3 linked regions of the Saccharomyces cerevisiae S288C genome follow. The gene in region 2 interacts genetically with the main gene of each other region. Each region holds a gene or a part of one and is shown on either strand. Other genes may lie near its edges.

Region 1 (6,366 bases), on a different chromosome or scaffold from region 2:
CCGTTTCAAGATGACCCAGATCTCTAAACCTTTTTTCCATTCCACTGAAGTTGGTAAGCCCGGACCACAGCAGAAGCTATCGAAATCTTACACTGCGGTATTCAAGAAATGGTTTGTCAGAGGTTTAAAGTTAACCTTTTACACGACGTTGGCCGGCACATTGTATGTGTCATACGAGCTGTACAAAGAATCGAACCCACCCAAACAGGTTCCCCAATCGACCGCTTTTGCTAATGGTTTGAAAAAGAAGGAGCTGGTTATTTTGGGTACAGGCTGGGGCGCCATATCTCTTTTGAAGAAATTAGACACGTCTTTGTATAACGTGACCGTGGTGTCGCCAAGAAGCTTCTTTTTGTTCACACCGTTATTACCCTCAACGCCTGTGGGTACGATAGAGATGAAGTCTATTGTCGAACCGGTTAGATCGATCGCTAGAAGAACGCCTGGAGAAGTTCACTACATTGAGGCGGAAGCGTTGGACGTTGATCCAAAGGCCAAAAAAGTAATGGTGCAATCGGTGTCAGAGGACGAATATTTCGTTTCGAGCTTAAGTTACGATTATCTTGTTGTTAGTGTAGGCGCTAAAACCACTACTTTTAACATTCCCGGGGTCTATGGCAATGCTAACTTCTTGAAAGAGATTGAAGATGCTCAAAATATTCGTATGAAGTTAATGAAAACCATAGAACAGGCAAGTTCATTTCCTGTGAACGATCCGGAAAGGAAGCGATTATTAACGTTCGTGGTTGTTGGAGGGGGCCCTACGGGGGTTGAATTTGCCGCCGAACTGCAAGATTACATCAATCAAGATTTGAGGAAGTGGATGCCCGACTTAAGTAAAGAAATGAAGGTTATCTTAATTGAAGCCCTGCCTAATATCCTAAACATGTTCGATAAGACGTTGATCAAGTATGCCGAGGACCTTTTTGCCAGAGATGAAATTGACTTGCAAGTGAATACTGCCGTGAAAGTCGTAGAGCCAACCTATATACGCACTCTGCAAAACGGCCAAACAAACACGGATATCGAATACGGGATGCTGGTTTGGGCCACGGGAAATGAACCAATCGATTTTTCAAAGACACTGATGAGTAGAATACCGGAGCAAACTAATAGGCGTGGTCTGTTAATTAATGACAAGTTGGAGCTTCTCGGTTCTGAGAATTCGATTTATGCAATTGGTGATTGTACCGCACACACGGGTTTCTTTCCCACGGCACAAGTTGCACATCAGGAAGGCGAATACTTGGCCAAGATCTTGGATAAAAAATTACAGATAGAACAATTGGAATGGGACATGCTCAACAGTACCGATGAAACTGAGGTATCACGTCTACAAAAAGAGGTTAATTTGAGGAAATCTAAGTTGGATAAGTTCAACTACAAGCATATGGGTGCCCTTGCGTACATCGGCTCTGAAACCGCAATTGCAGATTTGCATATGGGCGACTCATCATACCAGTTGAAAGGTATGTTTGCCTTCTTGTTTTGGAAATCCGCTTATTTGGCCATGTGTCTCTCTATCAGGAATAGGATTTTAATTGCCATGGACTGGACCAAAGTTTACTTTCTTGGAAGGGATTCCTCCGTGTAGTCCTTGTTTTATATATTCATTGTTCCAATTCAAATTGTTTACTATCATTTACGTATTATAACCAGTATTTCCCTTTATTGGTCATGGAAGATTCGCGTTACCCTTACTCGTTAACAGTGATATTATTTGTATATGTGATGAAAATTTAAGAAAAAAATAGTCGACAACACGCCGAATAAACAAAGGGTTTCTTCAATACCTGATATAGTAGCTAGAGGGCAGAAGTTTGAGGTGATATCTTTCTGAGTGTTGTTATTTTTGTAAGTCGTAACACGGAACTGTTTGCCTGTTGGAATTTTACGTTACTATTCTCATCGGTATAACTAGCTTATATTCACTTTGGCAATAGGTTAAAAAAAGCTCGTTCATTTTTTTAAAAACAGCAACGATGTCACACGAAGGTGAAGAAGATTTATTGGAGTACTCCGATAACGAACAAGAAATTCAAATTGATGCCTCTAAGGCCGCTGAAGCTGGAGAAACTGGCGCCGCCACTTCTGCAACTGAAGGTGATAATAATAACAACACTGCAGCTGGCGACAAGAAAGGTTCCTATGTTGGTATCCATTCCACCGGTTTCAAAGATTTCTTGCTAAAGCCAGAACTATCAAGAGCCATCATTGACTGTGGTTTTGAACATCCTTCTGAGGTCCAGCAACATACCATTCCTCAGTCAATTCATGGTACCGATGTCTTGTGTCAAGCAAAGTCTGGTTTAGGTAAGACAGCTGTCTTTGTCTTATCCACTCTGCAACAATTGGACCCTGTTCCAGGTGAAGTTGCCGTTGTTGTCATTTGTAATGCTAGAGAACTGGCCTATCAAATTCGTAACGAGTATTTGAGATTTTCCAAATATATGCCAGACGTTAAGACAGCAGTCTTTTACGGTGGTACTCCAATTTCTAAGGATGCTGAACTTTTAAAGAATAAAGATACTGCTCCTCACATTGTTGTTGCAACTCCAGGTCGTTTAAAAGCGTTAGTGAGAGAAAAATACATTGATTTGTCACACGTCAAGAACTTTGTCATAGATGAATGTGATAAGGTTTTAGAAGAATTAGACATGAGAAGAGATGTGCAAGAAATTTTCAGAGCTACTCCAAGAGACAAACAAGTCATGATGTTTTCAGCCACACTTTCTCAAGAAATTAGACCAATTTGTAGACGCTTCTTACAGAATCCATTGGAAATTTTCGTCGATGATGAAGCTAAGCTAACCTTGCACGGGTTGCAACAATATTATATCAAATTAGAAGAACGTGAAAAGAACCGTAAATTGGCTCAATTATTAGATGATTTGGAGTTCAATCAAGTCATTATTTTCGTTAAATCTACCACAAGAGCTAATGAGTTGACCAAACTATTAAACGCCTCTAACTTTCCGGCTATCACCGTTCATGGTCATATGAAACAAGAAGAACGTATTGCTCGTTACAAGGCTTTCAAAGATTTTGAAAAACGTATTTGCGTGTCCACAGATGTTTTTGGTAGAGGTATCGATATTGAACGTATTAATTTAGCCATCAATTACGATTTGACTAATGAAGCTGACCAATATTTACATCGTGTCGGTAGAGCTGGTAGATTTGGTACTAAGGGTTTGGCTATTTCATTCGTTTCTTCAAAGGAAGATGAGGAAGTCTTGGCTAAGATCCAAGAGCGTTTCGATGTCAAAATCGCTGAATTCCCAGAAGAAGGCATTGATCCGTCCACTTATTTGAATAATTAATAAAGGAAAAAAGATACGTTTTTATATAGATTATATAAAGATTTTGTATTATTCAAACGAACAAAACAAACAAAAAAGGGGAAGTGGAAAAAAATTAGCAGTTATAGCGAAAGATTGAGTTTTTGTTGGAAAATGAACGTAGTGTAGTCATTTCGTGAACGCACAAGACAATTCTATTGGGCATCACATGGCAAAGCATGATAAGGAAATGAAGTTTTGGGAATGATTCTAAATTAACGTTTTACCCGTTATAGGAAGATATACAGTATATGTAAGTAAAAAGTTTTTTAATACAATAGATGTGCAAAGAAAAGTGAAGAGATTTCTGGAAAAAATCTTGAAATTTTCTTAACGGTAAGATTTTTGGAATCTAGAACGAGCACCCTTACCACCGAATTTCTTTGGTTCTGGTCTTCTAGAATCAGCGATCAACAAAGTTCTGTCGTAAGAGGTGAAGGCCTTCTTCAATTCGTTCTTGGATTGTTCGTCAACGTACTTTTGGTGGTAAGCGACTAAACCCTTAGCAATAGCTTGTCTGATGGCGTAGACTTGAGAAACATGACCACCACCAGTGACTCTAACTCTGATATCGATGTTGGAGAACTTGTCCAAACCAACCAACAATAATGGTTCGTAGACCTTGAATCTTAGGATTTCTGGTTCAACCAAAGTGATTGGAGAACCGTTGACCTTAATCAAACCCTTACCGGCCTTGACGTGGGCAACAGCGGTAGCTGATTTCTTCTTACCAAAAGTCTGTTATAAAACCAAAAATGAAAAACATTTCGTGTCACATGTTAGTAAAACAGAAATTCAAAATCCTCAAAAATATTATGAACTGTGTAAAAGGGTGAAACAAGTGAGGTACCCTGGCACTTCCTCTTTGGAGCATTCTGTTCAAAATTCATTGCAAGGGGAGCGAATGAATAAATAAGACCGCAAAAGACGCTCATTACTTTACTCCACAGAGAAATTAAGTATAATATTTTCCCACACAATTTATTGGTTATTTCTACTCGGTCTTTAACGTGTGAAATGGTGATCCGTTGTTCTAAAACTATGATTCGCATCTAGTGCTTGCCCCACCCGTCTTATTCAGGTGATATGGTTCTTAAATTGAAATTATCTCACTGCATGGTTTCAATATCCCTCACAAATTCGTGACATCGTTTAAATTATTTAACATACTTGGACACTTGGGACGGCAGACATCTTGTTGCTTATTCTCTTGCTGTATTTTTCGAAACACTGCTAAATAAAAAGGTATATATTAAATAGTCTACTGCGTAACCTATACATTTTACATGGCATTTACTTTTGACTTTGCCAGTGTTACTCTCTGCGCTAGGATAATATTCGGTGGTATAGGCTCACGCGGCCTGGCCGGAACGAACTGCTACCAGTTCTGTTTCCCTCAGCTAGAGGGAAACAGAGAGAATTTCCGCCCAGGTCAAAGGCCACAGCATCCTTCTAGAGGAGGAGCGACAACCTAAGGAAAATTCAGTTTTTCCTAGATCGCATACATTTTTCAACCACTTTTTTTCACAATGCATTATTTTTCAACATGTATGGGTGTTTTTTCTGAATATCAGACTCTTTTATGGAGTAAAACAAGCTATTAATATGTGACCCATACATTTCCTGTTACATCCTTACATATATGCAGGCAATTTTTTGTAGTTAGAAAATTTAATTTTTTTCTAGTCGGAATAATCACAGTAGAGGTGTGGAAATCTTGGAAAATTTGAAATGATCGGATATTAGCTACTAATCCATTTAAGCTTGCAGCATTCTGTTCGAAGGGGTTTGAGAAAAGCATAGTACAGCACAGCAGGAATCGTACACAATGGGTATGTCTACTATAAAATAATTCAAATCACTTTTGTCATTTCATAGACCAAAGAAGCTCGCTTGTTACCTTAGAGGATTATACTAGTGCACAAAGGCATGCATAATACAACACACGTTATTGATGAACCTAGAGAGGCTAAAGTTATTTTCTAATAAATCATGAGATTTTTCTCCTTTTTACAATAACTGAGCAGTCATAGTAATGGCCAAGCAAATTCGAGACAGGACCTTTGTACCACTATTTGCTGAACTCATTGTTAGAGTCTTCTTAGATAATATGATAAATTTGGTGTCTAATTGAAACGTCCACTTTTCTGTATACTAACAATTTTTAAAATGGGATCTACCAATTGAATTATATCAGCCATTTCCAAGAATTTACCAATCTTAAAGAATCATTTCAGAAAGCACTGGCAAGAACGTGTTAAAGTGCACTTCGACCAAGCTGGTAAGAAGGTTTCTAGACGTAATGCTAGAGCTACCAGAGCCGCTAAGATTGCTCCAAGACCTCTAGATCTCTTGAGACCTGTTGTTAGAGCCCCAACTGTTAAGTATAACAGAAAGGTCAGAGCTGGCAGAGGTTTCACCTTGGCTGAAGTTAAGGCCGCTGGTTTGACTGCTGCTTATGCCAGAACTATCGGTATCGCCGTTGACCACAGACGTCAAAACAGAAACCAAGAAATCTTTGATGCTAACGTTCAAAGATTAAAGGAATACCAATCTAAGATTATTGTTTTCCCAAGAAATGGTAAGGCCCCAGAAGCTGAACAAGTTTTGTCTGCTGCTGCTACTTTCCCAATTGCTCAACCAGCTACCGATGTTGAAGCTAGAGCTGTCCAAGACAATGGTGAATCTGCTTTCAGAACCTTGAGATTAGCCAGATCTGAGAAGAAATTCAGAGGTATCAGAGAAAAGAGAGCTAGAGAAAAGGCTGAAGCTGAAGCTGAAAAGAAGAAATAGATCTAAAAACTTCATCAAAGAATTTTTCATCCACAATTTTTGTATTTTCCTTCTTTTTTATCTGTTCAATTTCATAAATAATATATATGTACAATGTATAAACGGGAAGCCATCACTTATAATTTATCATTTCCTTAACTTTATAGTCTGGGTGAGAATATGGTTGACAGTATTTTTACAAGTTAGCGCAGTTTTCTTGATATGATGGAACATTATTGTATTAGTAGTAGTC
Region 2 (3,361 bases):
ATTTGGAAGATATTTTCGCTCTTGAAAGCTATAGAGATTAATTATGTTTTTCCCTTGGTATACCTTTTCTGTGTTGTCTTTCAGTTCCTGTCTTTAGGATGTTATTTATCGATCTTTTTCAGAAAGACCAAAAGCGAAGAAGCGAAGAAGAGGACTTCTCTGTACTAAGACCAAATTATGTAAAAGGAAAACTAAACATGAATATGTGAATTTATTTCCAAAACACAGCAGAGCTTAAAGATGGGGTAAACTCATATTCATATTCATATACACGTATGTATATAAAAATTCATTTAAAAGGATTGCTTTGGTTTTCTACAACACTAAAAAGCACAATAAAATAATAAAGTAAAAAAAAAAATGTGATAATGAGGTCGTTTTAAGGTACTTTTGTTATTTCATCTCCCAAGCAGTTGATCCTATACACTAATACACAGACACATTAACCACACGTTCAGATATGTATGAGAAAAAGGAAGAAGAAAAATAATTTTTTTTCCTTACACTAGGCCCCTTTCTCTTTCCAAACGGGTCTTCATTTTATTAAACCAGTCTTGCAATGTTTCGCCTTTCCGGTTTAGCACTACAATGATGGCAGTCATATTGTCAAAGCCGACACCAGTATTGCTATTTGCCTGCGCTATCCCGTGGTCCAACAATTTTGTTATTATTGTATCCAACTTCGTCCCTGATACCAGGTGATACTTTATAAAGTGAATTAACTGTTTGTTGTTATAAATATCCCATATACCGTCGCAAGCCAGTACTAAAAACTCATCTTTAGAATAGTCAATCTTGTGCATCAATACGTCTGGTTCAACGGTAACTTGTGCTTCTTGTGGTGGGGTTCCATAAGTTAAATTCTGGGTAATATTTGTTAGTTTTGTCCTTCTATGTGGATAAGTGACACCTCTCTTGAATTGGAAATCACTAAATGCCCTACTGAGAGCCAGTACTCCACCCACTCTTCCAAGAGAGACAGTACCACCATTATCGTTTATACGTATCAATTCTCCTATGTGTTGTGGCTTATGATCGAAAGACATCGTCTTTATGCCATTCGATTTGGAGGAAAGAATACATCGCGAATCACCACAGTTAGCCACATACAGTGATTCCTCGTTTATGATGCATGCTACTACTGCTGTAGATCCACACGAACTGTTGGCAAAATGTCGATATAACTCTTCATCTTGCAATATGAAAGCGTCTTTAAAAATTTGAGAAACAAGTCCTTCCAACGTATTGAAGGATCTTTTAAATTTTGATGAGTCGTTATTAGTTGTAGATGTGTAATGGTGGTTTTCGAAACTATACGCAATCCATTTGATCAGGCCAGCGTTGGGTTCACCATTACCGTTGCTACTGCCGTTACCATCGCGATGGTGGCGGCCGCCGCTTAGAAATTTCGAACAATCATCTCCACCATGACCATCGAATACTGCGAAGACGTTCAATGACAGGGTTTCGTATTTGTCTATGAATGGGTTGAAAAATCGTACGTACACAACAGAGTTTTCATTTCTAATTAGATGTGCATCTTCCTGAGTCAAACGATAGCCTTGCATGGACCCCACACAATTGTAAAATCGTGGAACAATACCAGTTGACGCCTGGTTGTTTTTATATTCATTATATTCTATGGTCTTCTCCGTCAACGGATGGGAAAGCAATTGACCCATTTTTGTCTTCTTCAAATTGAAGTTACTTTCTAAAATGGCTATATAGGGGAGAATAGAGGCAAAAAGGGCGATGGGATAGAAAAGAAGACGTAAGGGCTCCGTGCTAAGAAAGAAGAAAAAGATGCAGTTGAAAACAACGTAAAACTAGAGATCCAATGTCAATTGTTTATGTAGCCAATATCTTCGTTATGCGGTGTGAACAGCGACAATAAAAAAAAATGTGGGATAAATTATGGCTTTTTTTTCTTGATTTCCTTTTTCTTTTTATTCATGATGTTTCGAAGAAGAGATCAGCGCGGGAGAGAAAGAAAGAGAGAGAAAAAGAGGGCCTATACGGTGAAAAAACTACTTGCGCAGCTTCAGTAACAGCGCTACAGACAGGCGTTAACGAATAGGAGAGGACGTGTGGCGTTTCAGTTATGTCATTTATATAATTTTATATAAAGTATAAAAAAAGTGAATAGAAGAGAGGGCAGAGAAAACCGGACCAGGAATAGACGATCGTCTCATTTGCATCGGGTTCATCAGTTTTTGGTGGCAGAGGAGCTTGTTGAGCTTGATGATGTACTGTATAATTCATGGACGAAATTTTCACCCCAGAAGGCAGAAGTGTATTTAGAGATGTATTTGTAAAGTTTTTCCCAGTTAACTTCTTTCTTTACATCGGGCAAAGTCAAGGCCTCGTTGATGGCATCAGAAAGATCATCGGTGTTCCAAGGATTTACAATAATAGCACCATTCAAGGATTGTGCGGCACCTGTGAACTCACTCAGGATTAAGGAACCTTTCTTTTCTTCTTGGCAAGCAATATATTCGTAGGAAACCAAGTTCATACCATCACGGGTGGACGAGACCAAACAAACATCGCTCACAGCATATAACGAAATCAGCTCTTCAAATGGTATAGACTTGTGCATGAAATGGATGGGGACGAATTCCACAGTACCGAACTGACCGTTGATTCTACCGACCAACTCATTGACCACAGATCTTAAATATTGGTACTCTTCCACATCTCCACGACTTGGCACTGCAACCTGTACCAGAACAACCTTGCCCCTCCATTCTGGATGCTCGTTCAGAAACACTTCCATGGCGTGCAACTTCTGAGGCACACCTTTGATGTAATCCAGCCTGTCGACACCAACTATGATCTTGCAGCCCTTGAAAGTTTCCTTCAATTGTTGGATTCTCTTTTGTACGGATTCCTTTTTCAACCCATCGGTGAACTTGTCCACGTCGATACCGATAGGGAAGGCCCCTACGTTAACGAATCTGCCCTGGTATTCCACCCCATTAGGCAATGTGTTCACGTTAAGCACTCTTTGCACGGAAGACAAGAAATGTCTTGCATAATCGTATGTGTGGAACCCGACTAAATCACAACTCAAAACACCCTTCAAAATCTCTTGTCTGACAGGTAAGATTCTGTAAATTTCACTCGAAGGGAATGGTGTGTGCAGGAACCACCCGACCTTAACGTTTTGCAGTTGCTTCTCGTGAATCTTGACTCTCAACATTTCCGGAACCAACATCAAATGGTAATCATGCACCCAGATTAAATCGTTATGGTTCATAGTCTTAGCAATCTCGTTGGTGAACGTCTGGTTTGCCTCGTTGTATGCCAACCACGCATTCTCGTCGAAATTGATCTCACCAGGATGGTAATGGAATAACGG
Region 3 (6,273 bases), on a different chromosome or scaffold from region 2:
TAGAGCTTGCAAATCAAAATGGCACATCAAGTGACGTCAATTTAACAAAAAACAACGTATTTGTAGATGGAGAAGAGTCTGATGTAGAACTATTCGAAACTCCGAATAGAGGTGTTTATAGAGATGGCTGGGAAAATTTTGACTTAAAGGCAGAAAGGAACAAAGAAAACAACCTTCGAATATCATTGCTAGAAGCAAATACCAATTTGGGTGAGCTTAAACAACATGAGATGTTATCGCAAAAAAAGAGACCATATGATGAAAAACTACCGATCTTTAGAGATTCTATAGGTAGAAGTGACCCTGTTTATCAAATGATTAATACAAAGGACCAGAAACCAGAAAAAATTGACTGTAATTTTAAACTGATTTATTGTGAAGATGAGGAATCTAAAGGTGGTAGACTAGAATTTTCGCTAGAAGAAGTCTTGGCAATTTCTAGAAACGTTTATAAAAGGGTTAGGACAAATAGGAAACATCCAAGAGAAGCAAATTTAGGGCAAGAAGAAAGCGCAAATCAAAAAGAAGCTGAAGCACAATCGAAAAGACCAAAAATAAGTAGAAAAGCCTTAGTCTCCAAGTCGTTGACCCCCTCAAACCAGGGAAGAATGTTTTCTGGCGAAGAGTACATAAACTGCCCTATGACGCCAAAGGGACGAAGCACTGAGACGTCTGATATCATCTCAGCTGTCAAGCCGCGGCAGTTAACCCCAATTTTAGAAATGAGAGAATCAAATTCTTTTTCTCAAAGCAAAAATTCTGAGATCATTTCAGATGATGACAAGTCGAGTTCGTCTTTCATATCGTACCCACCACAGCGTTGAAATAAAACTAATCCCATGAATGAGTAAGTATACTGGCCAATCGTAAACACATCGACGGCCGACTTTTTTATTTAAAGCACAGATGATATAATGATTATTTAACGAATGATACTTCTATATTAAATCCTATGAGGAGTAATATAAATATAAAAAGGCCAATTTTAAAATGAACGTTTGTCCGATTAACGCTTATGACATACTGTAGGGATGACAAAATTATAGTGAGGACTTTAATTCTATATAAATACATTACAATAGTATAAAAAAACAAAAAAATGTGAAGAAACACCAAATATTAAACGGCAGTAATGAAGTTTAACCTCGAGGCTATTATTCTTGTTTTCTTACACCACTAACAATATCATCAACCCTTAATAGTAAACATGCACTTTCAATAGCGGTTTTGACACTTTGCTGCTTGATGACTTCAGGTTCCCAAATACCGTAACTAACCATATCTACAATTTTCCCCTTGTCACCATCAATACCTGTTGTAAAATTTCCCTGTGCGTGTTTGGCTCTTAGTTGGGATAGGAGTCTAATAGGATCACCACCTGCATTTTGTATCAAAGTACGTGGAATACACTCCATAGCATCAGCTACAGCTTGGTATGGCCATTGCTGGATCCCTTCTAATTGCTTTGCCTTTTCTGCTAATTTGACAGAAACTGCCATCTCGGTGGCACCACCACCTGGGGACAAGGAAGGACTCAACATCACATTACGAGCAACAGCCATAGCATCTTGTAGGTTACGATCTATTTCGTTTAATATATCTTTGGAACCACCACGTAACATTATGGTACAAGCTTTTGGTTCCTTGCAGTTATCCAAAAATGAGAAATATTCGTCCCCAATCATTTCTACTTTGAATAATCCACAGTTTGTACCGACATCACTTTCCTTCAAGTCCTCTACACGATTGACAATGGTTGCACCAGTTACACGAGCAATTCTATTATTGTCTGATTTCTTCACTCTTCTTAAAACACTACATCCACCCTTTAGTAAATAATGCTGTGCTAGATCTGAAACACCTTTTTCAGTGATGACTAGTGTTGGCCTAACGGCTAAAATTTGTTCACACATTAGCTGAACTTGTTCTTCCTCGATTTGTAAAATCCTATTCCAATCTTCCTCCTTTTCAATTTCTATGTTGGTTTGAGATTCACCCTTCTTATATTCTAGTGGACAATCCAAAAGAACAACACGTGGATTCTCTATGTGACGGGACATCTTTGGATGAACAACATCCTTGTTCAATAAGACACCCTTTAAGACGCGAGAATCTAGAACATCCCCCCCAGGAATCTTCTCCACACGGACATATCTTTTGATATCGATTTCAAAATTAGGTTCACCTTCCACAGTTTGTCCCAGGTCTTTACGGACAGTCTTAACAGCGTCTAGAGCTAATTCACACATTTTCTCTGACCAATGTATGACATATTTAGTACCGATAGAGGCTTGAATCAATTTTTTCATAGCGGCATCATTTTCCACATCGACAGGTTTACTTACTTGTTTGATAACTTCTAGTGCATCAGTCAGTGCTTTCTTCAAGGCTTGGATAATAATAACAGGGTGAATATTTTTTTCAATCAAATAAGGTGCACACTGAGCTAAAATCTCACCAGCTAGAATAATAACTGTTGTAGTCCCGTCACCAACCTCTTCGTCTTGAGTACGGGATAACTCCAACATTGATTTAGCTGCTGGATGTGCAACATCAATTTCCCTTAAAATAGCGTGGCCATCGTTAGTCAACACAAGACCGCCCATAGGATCCAATAACATCTTTAACATAGCTTTTGGACCTAAGCAAGTTCGAATGACATCGGCAACTGCCTTTGCAGCAGTGATATTGGAGATTTGGGCCTGACGACCGGTAGTTCTCTCTTGAGAAGCATTCATAAATACCACTGGAGCTTGCATTGTGGCTTATATCACTATTGTACTTGATGATTTTCAACGTATGATCACTCGATATTATCGATGCTTTTTTGATATAATGCTCTCTACTCACTTTATTGAGTGGCGATTTGCTATTTTTTTTTCTTCGCACCATGCGTCACGTTAAACGAAAAAGTTTAGTATTAGGATGGAAGTATATAATATCACATAAGATTATATCAGGGTATATTTGGCTATACAGAAACTGTACCACAAATATATACACTGTATGTAAGTTTTTGAGATGTGGCTATATATGCGAAGAACTATGCAATGGGCGAAGTACTTGCGACGATAGGACGTTCGCACATAGAACTTTTGTATTCATGGGCGTTTACTTGCAATTGATTCATCATATTAGTCGTTTCAGAACTAACATTGCTTTTATCACTCAATGAAAATTCCTTCACAGAATTATCCTTGTCACTCATGCAATTAAGTTTAGAGTGATCCCTCGTAGTATTATACATGCCCATTACATCACTAAAGGTCCTGAAGTTGAGTTCTGTGTTTCTCTTGGAGACTTTTGTCATTCTTTCTTGCAGGTAGCTAGAAAATCTTGACATAGTTAAAGCCATAGTATCGTCAGTATCTTTTTCTTTCAAAGGATTAAATTCCTGGGTCATCAAATGGGCAATCTCCTCTTCAGCAAAATAATCCACTGAGGGCAATTTAGGTAATCCAAACATTAACGAATTTATATCGGTTCTTTCTGTCTTGAATTGAACTGGACGCCCATAAAGTCTTGCACAATCCATCAAAGGAATAATGAACCTGATCATTGCTTCCAGGTGATGTACGCCATGATGGGGCAATGGCCTAATCAAAAGCCCATTTGTACGTGTAGTGAAGTTAGTTATAGGCTTTTTTGTTGATCTAGAAGTTAACGAACTTACATGGGAGCTATTTCTTCTGTGCCCTTTAGGTGAAAAGAAAGTTCTACTTTTTGGTGTAGTGTTAGGACTTTCATTATTCAATGCTGTCGAGCTGCTGTCACCACTGCCGTTGTTTGCACTACTATAGATGGATCCACTATCCACCACATCATTAAAGTCCGTATCACTGCAAAAGCGTACATTACCAACGAGCTTTATCATTTGCAACCCTTGAAAAAAGTCGTTCATATTTTTAGAAGGTTCTGCCGCATTGATGTTATAAAAGAAAATATCTTGAACGTACTCATTGTCAGGAATAAAAAAAACGCAGTTCTTGCTAGATGTGGATTTGTCATCTCTATAAAACCGTATTTGATACTTTCCTTTAGCATCATTGTCACTACTACTTTTAGAATTATTGGTTTTAGACACTTTATCAATATGACACCACACTTTCACCCAACCTTGACCATCAAGATAAACTTCACACCAATCCTTAAAATTGAACGGCGAGTTCAAAATGATATGCATATCAGACATTCTCAGCCCATAAGAGGAAATCACTGTGCCTGTCAAGGCCTTATATATAGAAATGAACTCAAAAATAGAAATCATACACAACCTTTTGAACTTCTCCAGTAAACCAAAATCGTTACATGTGATAGATAGTTGGCCATTATTGAATTGCAGGAACTCTCCAACGCTTGAAATTTCACATTGGTTTATGTTGGAAGGGGAATCTATGATGGCCACGTCTGCGACTTGTACAGAGGAATTTGTGATAATTATATGAGAGCCGAGCAAAGAAATTGACTCTGCTTCAAAAACATGTCCAGAAGAATCCTTAACATTCCATACAGCCTCAGCGTCGGAAGATTGGAAGTAAATCTTATTTGCGTGTGCTTGCAGAAGCTTAAATATAGGTTTAGTGATGCTGAAAAGCTCTGGTGGTAATTCGAGGAAGGACCGTGAACTTACTGGGTGGCTACTTAAATTGATGCTGGTAGCACTGCGGGAGAATTTGGGGAGCGAACTCTTGATATTAACAGGTTTTTTCAGCGAGTCCAAAATGCCCATTTTAATTTTTTTTGTCTCTTGCAATAGAGTCGTGTTGTGAAAAAAATCTAAAGGCGTTGAAGTTACGTTCTGAGATACTTTTAAAAGACCTGATGATGATAAATATGCCAAGAATATAGGAACTTAGTTAAGCCTTCTTGCTATGTTATTTGAAACTAAAAAAGATGTACGTCAATAATAAGTAAACGAAGAAAATGGAAACGAGAGCAAAAAAAAACTTGTGATAGAAATGAATGAAAAGGGCTGAGTATTGAAACAAAACCAAGTCCTTTATGCTATGTCTTAAAATTTCCCTTTTTTACCTTTTTTTTTTGCAGATATTTCTGATTTTCATTCAGCTTTTTAAGTAGGGAAAATTTCCCGCAAAACTGCACGAAAAAAGATATTCCGATTTCCAAACGACTGCAGTCTTAAATAGCACGAGGAAATTTCCATGAGCTGTTAATCGCAGAGCGTGAGTCCACGCATGGGAGCAACATCTGAATGCCGTGTGGCTGTGTTCAAGGTTGGAATTCAGAATAACGCCAGTACCGAAAGAGAGTGGTGAGTAGCTGATTAACTCTATGATTTAAAGGGAGTGCCGTCAATCTGCGCGATTTTCTGGGGGCCAGGGGGTTAGAACGTTTAATTTTTTATTGTCGTTTATTGATCTAGCTCATCTTGGCCAAATGATGGGACGTTAGAAGCGGGATGAAACTTGGTACTAGTAGATGAAGACGCGTAAGGAGGCTTTGATAGGAGAACTTTCCTCTTGCCTTCGTCGGTGTTCTGAGTGACACCATATTCTGGGGTGTCACCCAGTAAAACAGGGAACTCGTTATTTTCAATTATTTGCAAATCCTGCGGTGTCACTCCGTTGATGATAAATTTCCTCAGAGATATGAACTTTTTGTTCCCGTAGTTCTCGTCCACTTGAAAGACAATTGAGCGTACGAGTGGTTTTAACTGAATGAACCATGGGGGCAGATACATTTGTTGGCGTATTCTAGAATCTGTCAACCTGTACTCAAATTTTGCGATCTTGATGTAATTTCGGTCTCTCTTGTGATGCTGCCCGAAACCGTATTGATTTGCCAATGTCTGCAATGCTTTGATCTCTTTAGTCTGTGACAGTTTTACATATAATGAGATCAGTCTTGGTGCTGAGTTCATTATATGTAGGTTATTAGTAAAACGGCCATGCATGTACGAAATTTTGGTTAGATACAAAGGAGTTTTAAACCTTATGGCCCATGAACACCCAGGTTCGTTCTCACATTGCCAGTAAGTTGAGGAGCTTTGTTTGGAGTCGGTCAGTAATTCTATCGGCTGTACCCCACTGCCCTGTCTCCAGGTTGGTGAAGTTAAATGGTTCAATAGTTTAGTACCTTGAACATAAGTAGCAAAATCTAAATCGTCCTCCCATTGGTGTTGATTGGAATTGTAAATTTGGTGAATTAATCTTTTCATTAATATGCTCGAATACTGCTGTGGCACGTTAGAATAATCCTGTTGAACCTGCTGCTGCTGCTGCTGCTGCTGTGTCTCTAACCTATTTGTGATCT

The links. Genes that interact genetically often act in the same process or in processes that back each other up.
Region 1: mutations in PTC4 (region 2) and SUB2 together harm fitness more than expected from each alone (negative genetic interaction), as found in Saccharomyces cerevisiae (one large-scale study listed by BioGRID).
Region 3: mutations in PTC4 (region 2) and TPH3 together harm fitness more than expected from each alone (negative genetic interaction), as found in Saccharomyces cerevisiae (one large-scale study listed by BioGRID).

What each region holds. Positions count from the first base shown.
Region 1 is NC_001136.10:303,255-309,620, forward strand, and holds SUB2 (ATP-dependent RNA helicase SUB2), read left to right. Parts: upstream 1-1,982; coding exon 1,983-3,323; downstream 3,324-6,366. Other genes in the region: NADH-ubiquinone reductase (H(+)-translocating) NDE2, read left to right, coding at 1-1,594; 40S ribosomal protein uS9 RPS16B, read right to left, coding at 3,672-4,079, 4,512-4,535; 60S ribosomal protein eL13 RPL13A, read left to right, coding at 5,170-5,173, 5,539-6,134. UniProt on the Saccharomyces cerevisiae protein: ATP-binding RNA helicase component of the TREX complex involved in transcription elongation and required for the export of mRNA out of the nucleus. SUB2 also plays a role in pre-mRNA splicing and spliceosome assembly.
Region 2 is NC_001134.8:486,699-490,059, forward strand, and holds PTC4 (type 2C protein phosphatase PTC4), read right to left. Parts: upstream 1,683-3,361; coding exon 501-1,682; downstream 1-500. Other genes in the region: alpha,alpha-trehalose-phosphate synthase (UDP-forming) TPS1, read right to left, coding at 2,207-3,361.
Region 3 is NC_001142.9:404,044-410,316, reverse strand, and holds TPH3 (Tph3p), read right to left. Parts: upstream 4,730-6,273; coding exon 3,044-4,729; downstream 1-3,043. Other genes in the region: MAD3 (Mad3p), read left to right, coding at 1-824; chaperonin-containing T-complex subunit CCT3, read right to left, coding at 1,155-2,759; MPS3 (Mps3p), read right to left, coding at 5,372-6,273.